Neurospora crassa OR74A: one gene and its partners. The protein of the gene in region 3 purifies or fractionates together with the protein of the main gene of each other region. This does not show direct contact. Links are inferred from orthologs where the notes say so. Each region holds a gene or a part of one and is shown on either strand. Other genes may lie near its edges.

Evidence for each region.
Region 1: the proteins of NCU01318 (region 3) and NCU04063 purify together in Saccharomyces cerevisiae (affinity purification with mass spectrometry; 5 studies listed by BioGRID, with this or other methods). This does not show direct contact. The link is inferred for Neurospora crassa OR74A from reciprocal best matches to the Saccharomyces cerevisiae genes SEC23 and SEC13.
Region 2: the proteins of NCU01318 (region 3) and NCU01741 purify together in Saccharomyces cerevisiae (affinity purification with western blotting; 4 studies listed by BioGRID, with this or other methods). This does not show direct contact. The link is inferred for Neurospora crassa OR74A from reciprocal best matches to the Saccharomyces cerevisiae genes SEC23 and BET1.

What each region holds. Positions count from the first base shown.
Region 1 is NC_026506.1:2,621,665-2,625,889, reverse strand, and holds NCU04063 (protein transporter sec-13), read right to left. Parts: upstream 2,609-4,225; 5' UTR 2,387-2,608; coding exon 2,384-2,386; intron 2,290-2,383; coding exon 2,242-2,289; intron 2,174-2,241; coding exon 2,058-2,173; intron 1,990-2,057; coding exon 1,242-1,989; 3' UTR 948-1,241; downstream 1-947. Other genes in the region: NCU04064 (hypothetical protein), read left to right, coding at 1-947; pex20 (peroxisome biogenesis factor 20), read left to right, coding at 3,523-3,642, 3,720-4,225. UniProt on the Saccharomyces cerevisiae protein: Functions as a component of the nuclear pore complex (NPC) and the COPII coat. It is one of 5 proteins constituting the COPII coat, which is involved in anterograde (ER to Golgi) double-membrane transport vesicle formation.
Region 2 is NC_026502.1:2,582,095-2,586,604, forward strand, and holds NCU01741 (SNARE complex subunit), read right to left. Parts: upstream 2,977-4,510; 5' UTR 2,762-2,976; coding exon 2,748-2,761; intron 2,140-2,747; coding exon 1,815-2,139; intron 1,717-1,814; coding exon 1,510-1,716; 3' UTR 1,012-1,509; downstream 1-1,011. Other genes in the region: NCU01742 (hypothetical protein), read left to right, coding at 1-668; NCU01740 (histone H2A.Z-specific chaperone chz-1), read right to left, coding at 4,269-4,435. UniProt on the Saccharomyces cerevisiae protein: SNARE required for targeting and fusion of ER-derived transport vesicles with the Golgi complex.
Region 3 is NC_026505.1:3,643,607-3,648,300, forward strand, and holds the start of NCU01318 (protein transporter sec-23), read right to left. Parts: upstream 3,051-4,694; 5' UTR 2,734-3,050; intron 2,574-2,733; 5' UTR 2,371-2,573; coding exon 2,278-2,370; intron 2,212-2,277; coding exon 2,081-2,211; intron 2,025-2,080; coding exon 1,250-2,024; intron 1,188-1,249; coding exon 90-1,187; intron 26-89; coding exon 1-25. Other genes in the region: NCU01319 (hypothetical protein), read left to right, coding at 4,195-4,360, 4,425-4,505, 4,563-4,694. UniProt on the Saccharomyces cerevisiae protein: Component of the coat protein complex II (COPII) which promotes the formation of transport vesicles from the endoplasmic reticulum (ER).

The DNA of each region.
Region 1 (4,225 bases), on a different chromosome or scaffold from region 3:
GTGTCAGCAGCGGCGACATCAACGTCCCCGCGGACGTCCCCAGCGAACCCCACGACCCATTGACTTCCCCCTCTACTCCCCCTCCTCACCAACCTCCGGCTCCGTCGCCCCTCCCAGCCAGCCAAAACCCCACCGACGACCTCGATCCCGACAACTCGGAGCACTCGGAGCACTACCGTATGCACATGTCGATGATCAACGACGCCGAAGGCGAGCCGGACGAGGTAGCGGCCGAAGACATGCTCCAACAAACTCTCAAGGTAGAGATTCTACCTGGCAAGTTCCCACGTAAGAGCTATGTGCATTTCCCGCCGAGGCACTCCATGCTTAAGCTGCCGGATACGTTATTGTTGTATGAGACGCCGTCGGCGGAGTTGCCGTTCAAGTGTGATGCTTTGGCGAAGATTGGGTCGTCGGAGGGGGGGAAGGATGATGGGGTTGTTGATGCCGCGGCCCGGAACAGAAATCAAAAGGGACTTAGTGGTGTTCAGAAGCAGAAGCAGAAGAAGATAAAGGGGGAGGAAGAAGAAGAAGAAGAAGAAGGCCAGGGAGAGAAATACGAAGAGGGCGACTCAGCACAAGGCGAAGCAGAGGAAAAGAAGAAACCCCGCCCTCGTCTCAAAACGCGAAAACACCGCAAACCCCCGGTCGCCATCACCGCTGGCGAGAACAGCTTCCGCACGCAAGCGTACGAACTGGCGCTGCTGATGCAGCGGAGCATTGAGATGTTGGAACTCAAAGAGCGGCGGAAGTGGGACGAGGATTACTTGATCGACCTCCACCACTGGGAGCTGGAGGCGGCGAGGAGGGTCAAGGTGGCGGACGTGGGCGTGGTGGACGATCAGGACATGGCGATTGGCGATTTGGAAGGTGTTGGGGATCTGGATGAGAGGGGAAGGGAGATTGTGTTGGGATGGTTGGAAGAGAAGATGGATAAGGCGCGTTGATGACTTGGGAGGTGGGATGTACTGGGTCAAATGTACTCCCCGTAAGCCCGAGGTAATGTGATAGTGTAAGATAAAACTCGGTATGATCTCTTCATTGTCCCGAGCGGTTCATGTGAAGCCAACCTGGATATGTTCTTGTGAAACCGAAGGTAAGCCTGCTCCTTTTCGCTGGCCTCCCTTATTTATTACCCGATAACGCCCACTCTGGATGATGAGTAGATATCCTACCTACCAATATTATGCTAACGCTCGCCACCCATCATCATCATAACGTGACCGAATTCCCATGTGATTTTACTCCTCAATGGTCTTGACGTTCTCCCACTCGCCCTTAAGGTTCTCCTTCCATAGTGTGACCTTGTTGTTGTCACTGCTGGCGGCCAGCACGTTTCCGCTGAGCGACCAGCTAACGCGCCAGACGGCCGCATCAAAGTTGAGAACCTTGCACTTCCACTCGCCCGGGTTCGCCGCGTCACTCGTCCAGATGCGCACCGTCTTGTCCTGCGAGGCGCTTGCGATATAGCTCTTCTGAAGCACAGTCGGGCTCCACGCAACGTCGCGCACCCAATCTGTATGACCCGCCAGGGGCTCGCGCTCGAGCTTGTATCCGTTGGTCGCGGGGTCGAAGGTCCAGATCTTGAGCAGGTTGTCGGAACCGCCAGTCACGAAGCGTCTGTTGCCCGTCGAGCCGGGGCCGGGGTTGCTGCTGACGATGCTGCCGGGGGTGGTGGCGGGGGCCCACGAGACCGAGTTGACGCCCAGGCCATGGGCGTGGAAGATGTTGTGCTCCCAGCTGTTATCCTTGAATTCGAGAACGCTGACGTTGCCGTCCGAAGAGGCGCAGGCCAAGAGGCATCCGGCTTCGTGGGGAGACCAGGACACGATGTTGACGCTAGCCTTGTGTAGGGCGAAGTCGAAGATGCGCTGCCAGCTGCCGGCTTGCTCGCGCCAAATGAGAACCTTGCCGTCGTAGCCTGCCGAGGCGAGGATGTTGCCGTACTTGGGGTGCGCCCATGCTACGGACCAAACTGCGCCATCGTGTCTGTCGGAAGAAGGGAGGTTAACCCATTGTCCATATTGTTTGGTGACTGTAGCCCATCGCAAACATACCCCTTCAATGTCTCAACAAGTCGCTGTGATTCGCCCTCGATCTCGAAGATCTTGATGGTGCGATCCGAGGAGCATGTCGCTAACCTCCTGCCGTAGTAGTCGAGAACTGCATCGTGCTGCGAGGGTCGGTTAGAAACAGAGGGATGGTTGTCGGGAAACGTCGAGGGGGCGATGTTCAGCGTACAATCATATCATCGTGGCCAGAGTTGGCGATAACCTGTGCGCCTGCGGTCTGTCATTGTCGCGATAGCTTCATGTTAGTGGATAGGTAGCCAAGTAAGGGGGAGGGACGCCGCCGGCAGCTTTGGGGGTGTAAGAGGACGTACCATGTTGATTAATTATGGAGTATTGAAGATTGTGGAAAAGACAAATAGATTTGTATGGAGTTGTATTTGCGTCCTTTGGGTGATGAATGAATTCAGACTGGAGTTATAAAGTACACTACTCAGAGTAGTAGAAAGGAAAAAGGGCCGTCGTTGGGGATTCAGTTGCTGTTAAGTTGGATCACCACGGACGGGCATTGGGAATGGAAGCTGCAAGCTACAGGCAGTGGACGCCCAGGCGACACGATAGGTGAACCCGTCTTGCTGCGCTGGAGCTTCCACTTGACGCTTGCGCAGTGATCCCTGTCGAGCGATGTGGTCCAGCTGGCAAGAAGTCAAGGTGAGCAAGGTGAGCAAGGTGAGTGGAGCCTTTGTCGGTTTCCTCGTAGGCTCACCGTGGTGTGACGTTATTGTAACCAGGTCGGAGGCTCGAAGTGGACTCTTGTTGAGACAACCAAGGTGGGGCAGGTGAGGCAGGGGCCCGTTGACGACCCCACGCGTCGCCTGGGCTCTCCCGTCCCGCTGTAAAAGTCCACTGAACATGCCGTGCACATGATAGCGTGTGAGCGCATGGCTACCCCGACGGGAATTTCGCCAGTGCCGTGGCAGCGTTCACTCCCGTCACAAAAAGTTGGGATGGAATCTCACTCAACCAGACCTGACCATTTTGACCCTTCTTCCAGAATTACTTGTTCAAAATCAGCGACGCTTTTTGTTTGCTTGCTAAAAGGATTTCTTTACACACAGTAATCAGTCGCGTCCTTTTCGTGGTATTAGGTCCGGCGTTGTTTACTCTTTTTTTTCTCGTTTCCATCTTCCCCCCTCTCCAACTACTTTTCTCCAAATACTTAGCGTTGAAGACTTGAGATACCGGCGGGTTCGGTGACTACTATCGCGCTGTTCAAAGAACCTCGGCTTCTACTTTCGCGCCACTAATCTACATTACTTACAACTTACAACTCTCCTTTCGCTCACTCATCCAAGTCTTCCTCGCTCTACAATAATTATATACTCTCTTCAAGGACATTTCGTTCCTCACTCTTTATTTATAAAACCTTCTACTTTTGTAATTTCTTTCTCGAAACTTACCGTCACCCGCGCTTCTCGCCTTTTTGCTTCCAACAAGTCAAACCTCGCTCAACATGTCTGACAGCATGTGCGGCCCGTCCAACGGTGCCAAGAACCTTCTTGCGCACGCTGATCGCGACCGCACTCTTCACCAGGACCGCCTGGTCAACTCGCCCAACTCGGCTGCCGGTGCTGTATGATATGATCGCTTTCTTTTGTTTTGTCTTGTCGTAGAATATCCAGCGTAACTCGGTGCTAACAACCCATCCAGTCCTTCAGAAACCGCCCCTCCTTCGCTGCTGATGGTGCCTTTGAGACCTTTCAGCAAGCCCCTATGCTCGACGCCCCGGGTCCTTCCCTCGGCCTTGCGAATAATACGTTCCTGAACAACCCAGGCGTCCCGGCTTTTCATGCTGGTCCAGCGCCTGGTGTCTTTGGTCATGCGGTCGGAGGTGCGCCGGCTACGGCCAGTCCCATGCACTCCTCCCGTGCCGCTGCCCACGGCTGGGTCGACCAGTTCGCCAGCATGCAGCTCCGTCAGGACACAGCTCACGCGGCCCCGGCCATGTCACCTCAAGCCATGCCGGCAGCCATGTCTACTGCAACCCACAACTCCATGATGGGCTTGCAGGACGACCATATGGCCTACAACACTCGCCAGTTCGGCGGTATGGGAATGGGTGTGGGTACGGGAATGGGAATGGGAATGGGATTGTCCATGGACGATCCTTTTGTCATGCATGGCACAGCCACGAACAACTTCACTCATCAGCAGCC
Region 2 (4,510 bases), on a different chromosome or scaffold from region 3:
TAGCCAACGTGCGTGCCAACGAAGAACGCATGCGCGAGATGATGGCCCGCGGTGGTCTCCGGCCCACGCACGTCAATCTAACCGATGGCGCCGCAGACGAAGACGACGACGTTGACGAGGAAGACCAAGCTCACATGCTAGAGGAGGACGACATCATCGGCTCTCACAACAGCGGAGAATATGCGGACGAAGACAGAGGCATGACGGACGACAGTCTAGGCATGAACGCCAACCTAGATGACGACATTCCAGAGGCGGACGAGGAGCGTGCGCAAAGCGGTTTCTATGAGCATACCGATTCCGAGGCGGAGCTTCTTGACAGCAGTGATAACGAGGGAGGACAAGAGCAAGTCGGTACAGGTGCAGGCATCGGCATAAGCAGCAGTGGTAGCGGTGGTAATATGAGCGGCAGTCACAGACGCGCTCACCGGGTTAGCTACGGACCTGGTTCGGCAGCGGGATCAGCGCAGGGCCAGCATCGCCGCGTATCACTGCCAAGACAGCAGCAGCAGCAGCAGCAGCGGCTGTTGAGGACTAGTCTTGCGGGAAATGCCAGGCGGAGCACAATTGGAGCGCCAAGGAGCAGTCTGGATATCAGTGGGCTGTTGTCTGTTGATGAGAGTAGTCCCATGATGAGAAGCAGTCCAAGGGTGAGGAGGTTGCACTAGAATGAAGGTCCGCGGTGGTTCGGAAAGAGAAACAAGGGAGGATTAAAACTGAGGAGTTGTGGTAGGAACGGTCAGCAAGCATCATTCAATAACAGGTCGTTTGAGTCTGGCGCATGGAGTCTTGGGATCATGGCAGTATGGGTAGCTACTTGGTGGCTTGGGAAGCAGGATTGAATAGATAATGTCCGTCAAAAGACAACTTTGATCTTCGTTACAGCAATGGTCTGGTCTATGCAGTGGTAGTCTACACGCAGTTCTGATTAACTGTCTGTTATACGCTCAATGATTATCCACTTCACGTTTGTGGGAGCCCATATATAGCTTCATGATTGATCAGTGGATTAAACCAGATAATTGAACCTCATTGGTTGGAGAACGGATTAAGAATGATTAAAATAATTAGGTACCACAAAAAAACCAAAAAAAACCGACTTCTGATACTACCCGAACGACTTAACAAACGCGAACTCCCCGGCGCCAGCATGCAAAAACCAAGTCCGCCCGCAATCTACCAAGGGCAACCCATATCCATGCCTTTTCTATCCCACAAGGTAGTCAGCCACTTTGACCTAGAACCTTCCGTTTTCCTCATCATCCATTGGTATTACCCATCGTTAAAGCCATATATATACTATCCCATCTTTCCTTTGCATATATATGGTCTCTTTTCTCGTTTCCATCATTCTTGAACATATCGCTTTGCCCCGCGCAGCAGCAGCAGCAGCAGCAGCAGCAGCAGGAGGACCACTCCGCCGACCAACATATCCCTCCATCTTTGTCTTTTTCTTTTCTTTCTTTTTCTCTCTTCCAAGTTCAGAAAAACCTTGACCTTGGAAGGATACTAGAGATACCTCACGTAAAAAAAGAGGAACACCACGGCAGCGAAAAAGGCAAGCCACACCCTCCACCCGACATTGGTCTTCTGTGCCATGATGAGCATTCGGTTCATGGTACCACGGAGTCGGAGGCGGGTTTGGTCGAAGGATTCGTTCATCTTCTCGGCGAGGGCGGAGGAGTCTCGAATTTCATCGCCGATGGCTATAGTCATCTGTTTGTGGGGGAGGGATGGGGTTAGTTGATGGGTGGCTTGCGAGAGAAGGAAGTGGGAGAGAGGGAGGAGAGCAGAAAGAGAGAACAAAAACATACATCCTTCAAAATCTTGACTTTACCCATTATCCCTTCCACCTGCTCATCATTCTGGCTCTCGAGTTCGTTGAGGACTGCGTCGCTGTACTGGCCCCTTGAATTTGGAGTAGCAGGCCTAAACCCGCCCCGTTCCATCCCCAGTGTTGACGAGCTGCCGTTATAACTCCCACCGCCACCATAGCCGCCCCCGTACCCGTATCCGCCGCCACCGCCATACCTTGCTGGGCTGGCGTTGGCCGAGCGGCGCTCGGCTGCGCTGGAGCCAGAGTAGCCCTTGAAAAGGTCGCTGCGCGGGTCGCGCTGGTGTAGAGAGGAATGTGCAAATCTGTACTCCGGAGAAAAAGAAAAGCGGACTAATTGTTAGAAGGGTGTTGTCTTGTCTTGTTCGAAGGATTAAGGGGTTGGTGGGATGGGGGTTGTGGTGGGTGGTCAAAGTCGAATCGAGGACGACCCGGGGGCATGGTGGATGGATCGAGTTGACGCTTTCGGTTTCGCTGTCATTCTCGCTCTCGTCGCCAGTGCTGCTGTGGTTGCGCCGCTGTTGCGACTGCATCACATCACGGTAGTGAACTCGTATCGTATCCTACCATGGCATGGTTGGAGGCGTGTTGGCGAGACTCTGAAACCAGAGCGATGACGTAGTTGAGGCCGTCGCGCCATGACCAGGGGGGGCAGGTCGAGAAATCGTGACTTGTCAAACCAACCACCATAACATCGATAGCTGCTGCCTTTGGTCCGCAGATATCTTCCGGTGGCAATATCGTACACCCGTTCACCGGAGCCGGGCAGCTCGGTCGGCCGCTCGCTTCATCGCGTGTCGGTCGTGGGTTTGGTCGAGTTGACAGGCCAAGTCGCATTTCGAAATGTGAAAGGTGGCATTTGCGTGTGGTGTGGTGCAATGCTAAGACGAACGTACAAGAGAATCGCACTCACCTGGAAGCCATCATGGAGAGCAAATTTAGGTCGATCCGTCTTCGAGAATCCTGACAGGTAAATGCTAGCTAACTTGTAAGAGTGTGGGTAGGTATTAGAGATGATGAATTGGCAGGTTCCATAGAGGTAGCGTCGGGCGGGGGGTGTGCGGGTGGTGAAGAAAGAAAATAAAGTTGAATGCCCGTGGACCCTTGGCCGCCAGCGCCGGCAGATCCCCCTTTTTAGTTTGGGTGGTTGTTAGGCCTGTTCTGGCCAGATGTTACCTTGGTGCGCCGTCCATGTACATAAACTACAACGTCAGTCCGTGTCTGGGTGATACATATGTAATGGCTAAAAGGTACAATGTTGTTCGTGCCGCATGATGCTGACAAGGACACGTTGATTGAACATCTGGGTTGGTGTCACGTCTTCCTCTCCGAGAGAACTTGACACTATTTTCCCCAATGTATCTGGTTTTAATCATTCAATTTTTCTTTATGTCGGAGGGTTCATGTTCGGCGTTGTTCAAAGTCCCTCCGAGAGGTGCCCGTGTTGCTTCCACTGATATTGGCTAATTGGGCGTTCAGCGTCTCCATTCTTCCTCTACCTTTTTTTTTTTTTTTTTTTTTTTTTTTTTCTCTCTCAGCTTGTCGCGTCAGCAATAAGTTGATCCACGTTAGATTGCGCAAGGCGCATAGACTCAAGTATGGACTTATTGAAGCGAATCTAAGCCCAAATCCGAGACTTTCAGAATCGTTGAAGCTTTCCAAGTCGAAGGCATGCATTCTCACAGATGTTGGCGTCAAAGAAGCTGGTGTATGGTACTGCGTAGAATACCCGGTGGATCAGGCCAAGATCGCGAACCTTGTTGGTGGCTGGTGCGATGCTCCGGTTCCTGACGTCTGCTGTGTACTCCAGGAACAGGACCGATATCAAATCTCGATGGTCATAGCAACTCTAGAATTCGCCGGAATATTACCTTTTCATAGGTCAGCCGTAGACATATCACCCCCTTCAGGCTGCCTCGCGGTTAGTTTAGTGGCACCCCATCTCAACAGGCCAACTGCCCTTGAGCTGACAGGGGAATCATCCAATGTCTCCACTTATGGGGGTTAGGTTAGTGAAGACAAGCGATCAAGCGTATTCTGATACACCAACGTACGTAGTATGTTGATACTTTGAAATTGGCTGACAGAAGAGATCGGTCTACCTGAACTGATAAACGAATGATCACTTACACCCTTATCATGTATTGCCAAATTCTGATTGTGGGAACTCCCAACGCATTGAACCAAACAACCCCAGGCCTTATAGCTGACATTCACGTACATAAATAGGTCCAGCCAATCAGGCTTAGCAATCAGCCAAAAGACGGCTTACATCTCCAAGCTCGTGATCATCATAAAACTCAACCACTGGCAGCGAGCAAAGCGCAGAGCCAACGGGGAAACCCAGGAAGAAAGAAAACAAGAATCTGTTGTCATTGTTGTTGTTGTTGTTGTTGTTGTGAACCATCAAAGGAAATCAGAAGATAGCCTCGGACTACTCCTCCATTTCCTCATCCTCGGGCACAAACTCCTCGTCGTCCTCCTCATCGTCCTCCTCGGCAGGCAAGTCCTGAGCGGCCTTGGCATAGTCGATCTCCTTCTGGCGAGTGCGGGGACCACTGATCACATTGCTGGGGTCGATCTCCTCGAGGTTGTCTTCCTCTGTTTTTGTTCATGTTAGTTCCTGTACGTAAGCTGTTGCTGCGCGATCGTCACCCGTGATTGGGCGTTGGCTGA
Region 3 (4,694 bases):
GAGGGAAACGGTCGGTAATAAGATCCTGTACACGGTCAGAAAAAAAGCCCCAACATAATTCGATCAGAGATGAACAGGAGACAACTTACCCTTGCATCTTCCTTGGGCTGCTCCAAAAGCGCAGCAAAGTTCTCGTATCCCTCTTGGTCTTGGTAGCCGGCCTTTCTCCATTCCGCAATCGTCTCACCATGGAAGATCAGAATGTGGAAGAAGGTATCGAGCAGGAGGATGTGGGTAGGCTGAATGGAGGTAGAGTCGAGCAGAACGGGGACACCGCCTTCTTGGTCGAAGGTGTAGGAGTCGAGCGTTGGTTGAATCATGATGAGCGAGTTACTAACATCCTCATGGTTGAGAACGTGCCGATAGAATGCGGTCTCATCGGGAGAGTTGTTAAAGACTTGCAAGAACTGACTCCTACGCAAGTGGAACATGAACTGTGGGTACAGCGTGAAGTTCTTTTCCAAGCGGAACGATGACGGGTCGTCCTTGCGGTAATCGGCAAATCTGGCGCAGAGCCTGATGAGCATGCGGTCAACCCACCGGAGCACATCAGGCCCATCGTCAACCTCCGCCTTGAAAACAGCGATACGCGACATAAGCACGGCTGCTGCCTCCTGGTCAAATGACTGCGCGATGGCCGGGTCTCCGGCGGGGCCGCTGAGGTTTCGGGCAATGGTGGTCACCCGAAGGTGGAAGTGGCCAGACGAGTGCTGGTAATAAGTCAAGAACTGCATCATTCCCTTTTGGGGACTCTGCATGTTCTGGGACGGGCCGCCTTGGTTGGCGATTTCGAAGTAGATACCGTAGCTGGAGCTGGGGTCGATACCGCACATCTTCCACGTGCAAGTGTTACCTATGCCGCACTCGGTTTCGCCGACGGACGTCGATTTTTTGTTGAGAGAGACTGCATGACCAATCAACCCAGTAACCTTGAGTTCCTTCGTTGTAAGTACTTCCAAAACCGCATTGAAGCCCATGAGCAGATTGTCATCCGCGTCCTTTTCGAAAATGCGGACGAATGACTGCTTGAACATGGATGAGGTGAAGCTGTCCGTCAGAATCATGTGGCCACCCGTCGAGTTGCACAGACCCTTCATTTCAAGTAGACCAACTTGATCAAGACAGCCGGCAAAAATGTCAATAGTGTGGCCGTTGTGCGCCGTTCGCTTAGCGAGGTTGTCGTAGAACTATAATAAATGTTAGCATGACACAGACTGTTTCCTGCACCACAACTTGAAGATGAACGTACCTTGAGTGCCTTCTTGTAATACTTGATGTTGTCACGGTCGATATCGTGATGGGAGCGGATCGGTTCCCTCAGCTCGGGGCCAACAACCATGCCAGGTCCCTCAGTGGCCGGACCACCAGCAAAGAGCATAATGCGACCACCGGCATTCTGGAACGACGTTTCGAGCAGGCCAACAGCTACGGACAACGCAACACCGGTGCAGCGCAAGGCTCTGAGGTTACCGGCAACAGGCCAGGGATCCTTCTGAAGCTGCTCAATGGCCTTGGTCAACTGGAACTCGGCCTGAGAGACCGGAAGCAAGAATCTTGAGGCAGGGCCGGCCGGGAAGGGCCTGCCAGGCTGTTGCATAGGCATGCCCGGACGCATGGCAGGTTGTACGAGCCCAAGCATCTCCTGGACCTGCTTGGCCGCGTACTCCTTGTTACCGCGGAAAACATATGATTTAGGGCACTCGGTATAGCCAATCTCGTGGACCTGGGCCATGGTGCCGTATGTAATCAGGCCGACAAGGGCGTGCTCGGGCAATAGGCTCAAGCTCATGATGAGCGACTCCTTGAGAGCAGCCAAGCTGTCCTCCTCCTGGCACGTATCGACGACATAGAGGAAGATCGGAGGGGCGGGGGCGGGCCGCGAGAGCCTGTACTCGATGGTAGTGTTGGAAGGGTGCAGCTCGGGTGGAATCGCATTTGCGGTGATGTCCTTGTAGTGTGGCGGGAGAGGATTCCTCGAGAGACAGAAGGGGCAGATCCACAGGCGGGCGCGCACATCGACTTGACTGGGCGAGGGTATCAGCAATGGGCGCGACAAGTCGGGGCGACGAAGATGGCTCACCAGTAGGGGTTTAACACGGAGCGGCAGGGCTGCTTGCAACTGACGGGGTCGAACTGCAGCAGAGGCGTGTCGGGCTTCTCCTTGAGAGGGGTATAAAGGGCGCCGATGGGGACGACGAGTCTCGAAGCTTCCTGAAGAAAGGGTCAGCGATAAAGGGGTGACGCGAAGTAGCAAGTATGCGAAAGAGCGGAACTGACCATGCGGGTGCTGGGGAAGACATTCCAGCTCAGACGAACGCCATCACGGTCCTCGACCTCGCCCCATTGCTCCTTGAGGGCTTCGTAATCCATGTTGATGTCGGCGGCGGCGTCCTCGGTCGATGGTCGCAGTCGGGGATAGAGAGGAACAGCTGGAGAGGGGTGATGGTGGTGTCGGCGGTTTGTTGGATTAGAAGATTAAGGGAATTAATGTGGATGATCCGTCGTCTACGCGGTGGTAGCTCCAGAGATAGGTACGGGGCGGGCGGCGGGCAACGGGCAACGTCGTCGGGCGGCTACGTGCAAGGTGTCATTAGCTCCGAGACCTGGAACGCACGAGACACTCGAGACATCCACCGTCCACCACACAGTCCACAGCAGCTGTCTTGCGGCAGGCGGGACCTGAGGCTAGATGTGGAAGCTAGGGGGAAAAGCGGGCTCCGTGCGAGTACATACCGCGGGGGGAGGCAATAAGGTATGGACGGGATCCCAGTTGTGGTGTGTCGCCAGGAAGATGCAACAACTGAACTGAAGAACCTCTTTTTCGACGCTCCTGAAAATTCAAGGTCCACTTTAAAGTGTTGACTGTCGTCCAGGAAGCCCTGCGCAAGATCACAGAGTTAACGACGCGCTGCTCTTCTGCAATCGGTCAAGTCGTTTGCGACAAGGTGATGGGATCAAAATGTTCAGAAATACCCCAATCGCTTCTACTGCAATGGAAGCCGACTGCAACAGGCGATAGTATCAATTTCTGATTTGCGGCTCTGTTGTCATTTGCTCCCCTCCAGTTGTTGAAAAGGACAGGTACCTCGTTCCCCTCCATCGAAAGGCAGGGGGCAGCTCTGCTGACAGACGACGGGAGGCTGCTTGCCAGCTGGTGCGTAGCCGACGAGCTGACGCCAATCACCACTTACCTCACCGTGCCACCGCGGCCGCCGTGGTAAACTGCATCTCCAAGCTGCAAGTTGCAACCTTTGTTCCGTCAGCACGAAATTGTCGGATGTACCAAGTGTTTTCCCGGTGCAGTGATGTTCCCGCGGCGTCGGATCATGAATGAAAAACAACATTGGCGAATCGCGACATCTCGACATGGAAATTGAATAGGTACCTATTCAGCATCGTATGCTTGCCCTCACCATCGACGCCTCGGGAGACGTCAAGCTTTGATTCCGTTACCCTTGGGCTCCAGTCATGATTCCGACCTGTGGCCGGCTGGCCGTTGAGTTTTGGCTAGCTCTGATTAGCCTGCTCGCATCTCTGTCCTAATGCTCGGTCTTGTGTCGATCCTACCACTCATGCCAGCATTTGGTGTTCTTCAAGAACCGTACCCTGCTCGCCCCATCCTGTTTCAGCCCACTGTGTCGAGCACGACCAAAATACCTTTTTGTGTTACCGTCGGGTTATCCTGAAGAATCCGCCTGTCGCGGGGGAACTCAATCAAACAACTCGCTCGCTCGCAGGCTCAGTCAGTCAAGCCAGCAGATGGTAAACTCGCGGCTGTGCTGCATCGCACAAACGCCCGCTCTCCGGTGATCACCCTCTCTGTTCTGAGCAGGCTCACTTTTACTTGTTACTCGACGAGTAGGGATCAGCCTTATCTCCTACTGTAGTGCTGACTTGATGCAACCCTTGGGTACGCTAAGATACGAAAGGGGCCGAGCAGCCGCCAGGTAGCAGTCAACAGGCACCATTGACAGTCCACGGTGATATTACCGTGGCTCACCTCTCCCGACCTCGTTTATAATTACAGTCGGATCCTATAGGATCATCACCTACCACCATGTCTCGATGGCGCTTCAGGGGAGCTAGCCCTTTTCGTGGGTAGAAAGCTGACACGCGTAGCATTTTGCTCAGAAATTTCTTCCTCCTCTCCCATTCTTCTCTTCTCTCTCTTGTTGCCCTCTGAAATCAGTCATCATGGTCAGGAGGTCGACTTCCCTTCTGTGCTGTGTAATACAGCCGTGGATTTGCCAGGCGGGTAGCACTATCACCCTACCCAAGGCAGATGAATCAATCATCCTTCCACGACAGGTTAACGGTGCTATCAGTCCCTCGACATTTCTGCGCAGAGGCTATCAATCGTGTGAGCATTGCCGTCATTGTCTTTTTCTCAGTGCATCATGACCATCTGGCTAATCGAACCAAAGCCGCGGTTTTAAACGGGCGCGTGTACATTGACGGCGGTGAGGTCTCGTACTACAGCGGTACTGACATCACCTTTCAATACTGTAAGACTCTCCACGCATTAACTCTTGAAACTATGGAATATCCTAACTCTTCCGTAGCGAACTCCCTGCTTTCTATCGATTTGTCCCAGGACTGGACAAGTGATTCAGTTCGGTTCGACTCAACATCCAAACCGCCCGGTGCCGCCAACCTCGCTGGCGGAGGGCTTTGGGTAGATGAGACGGATGGTG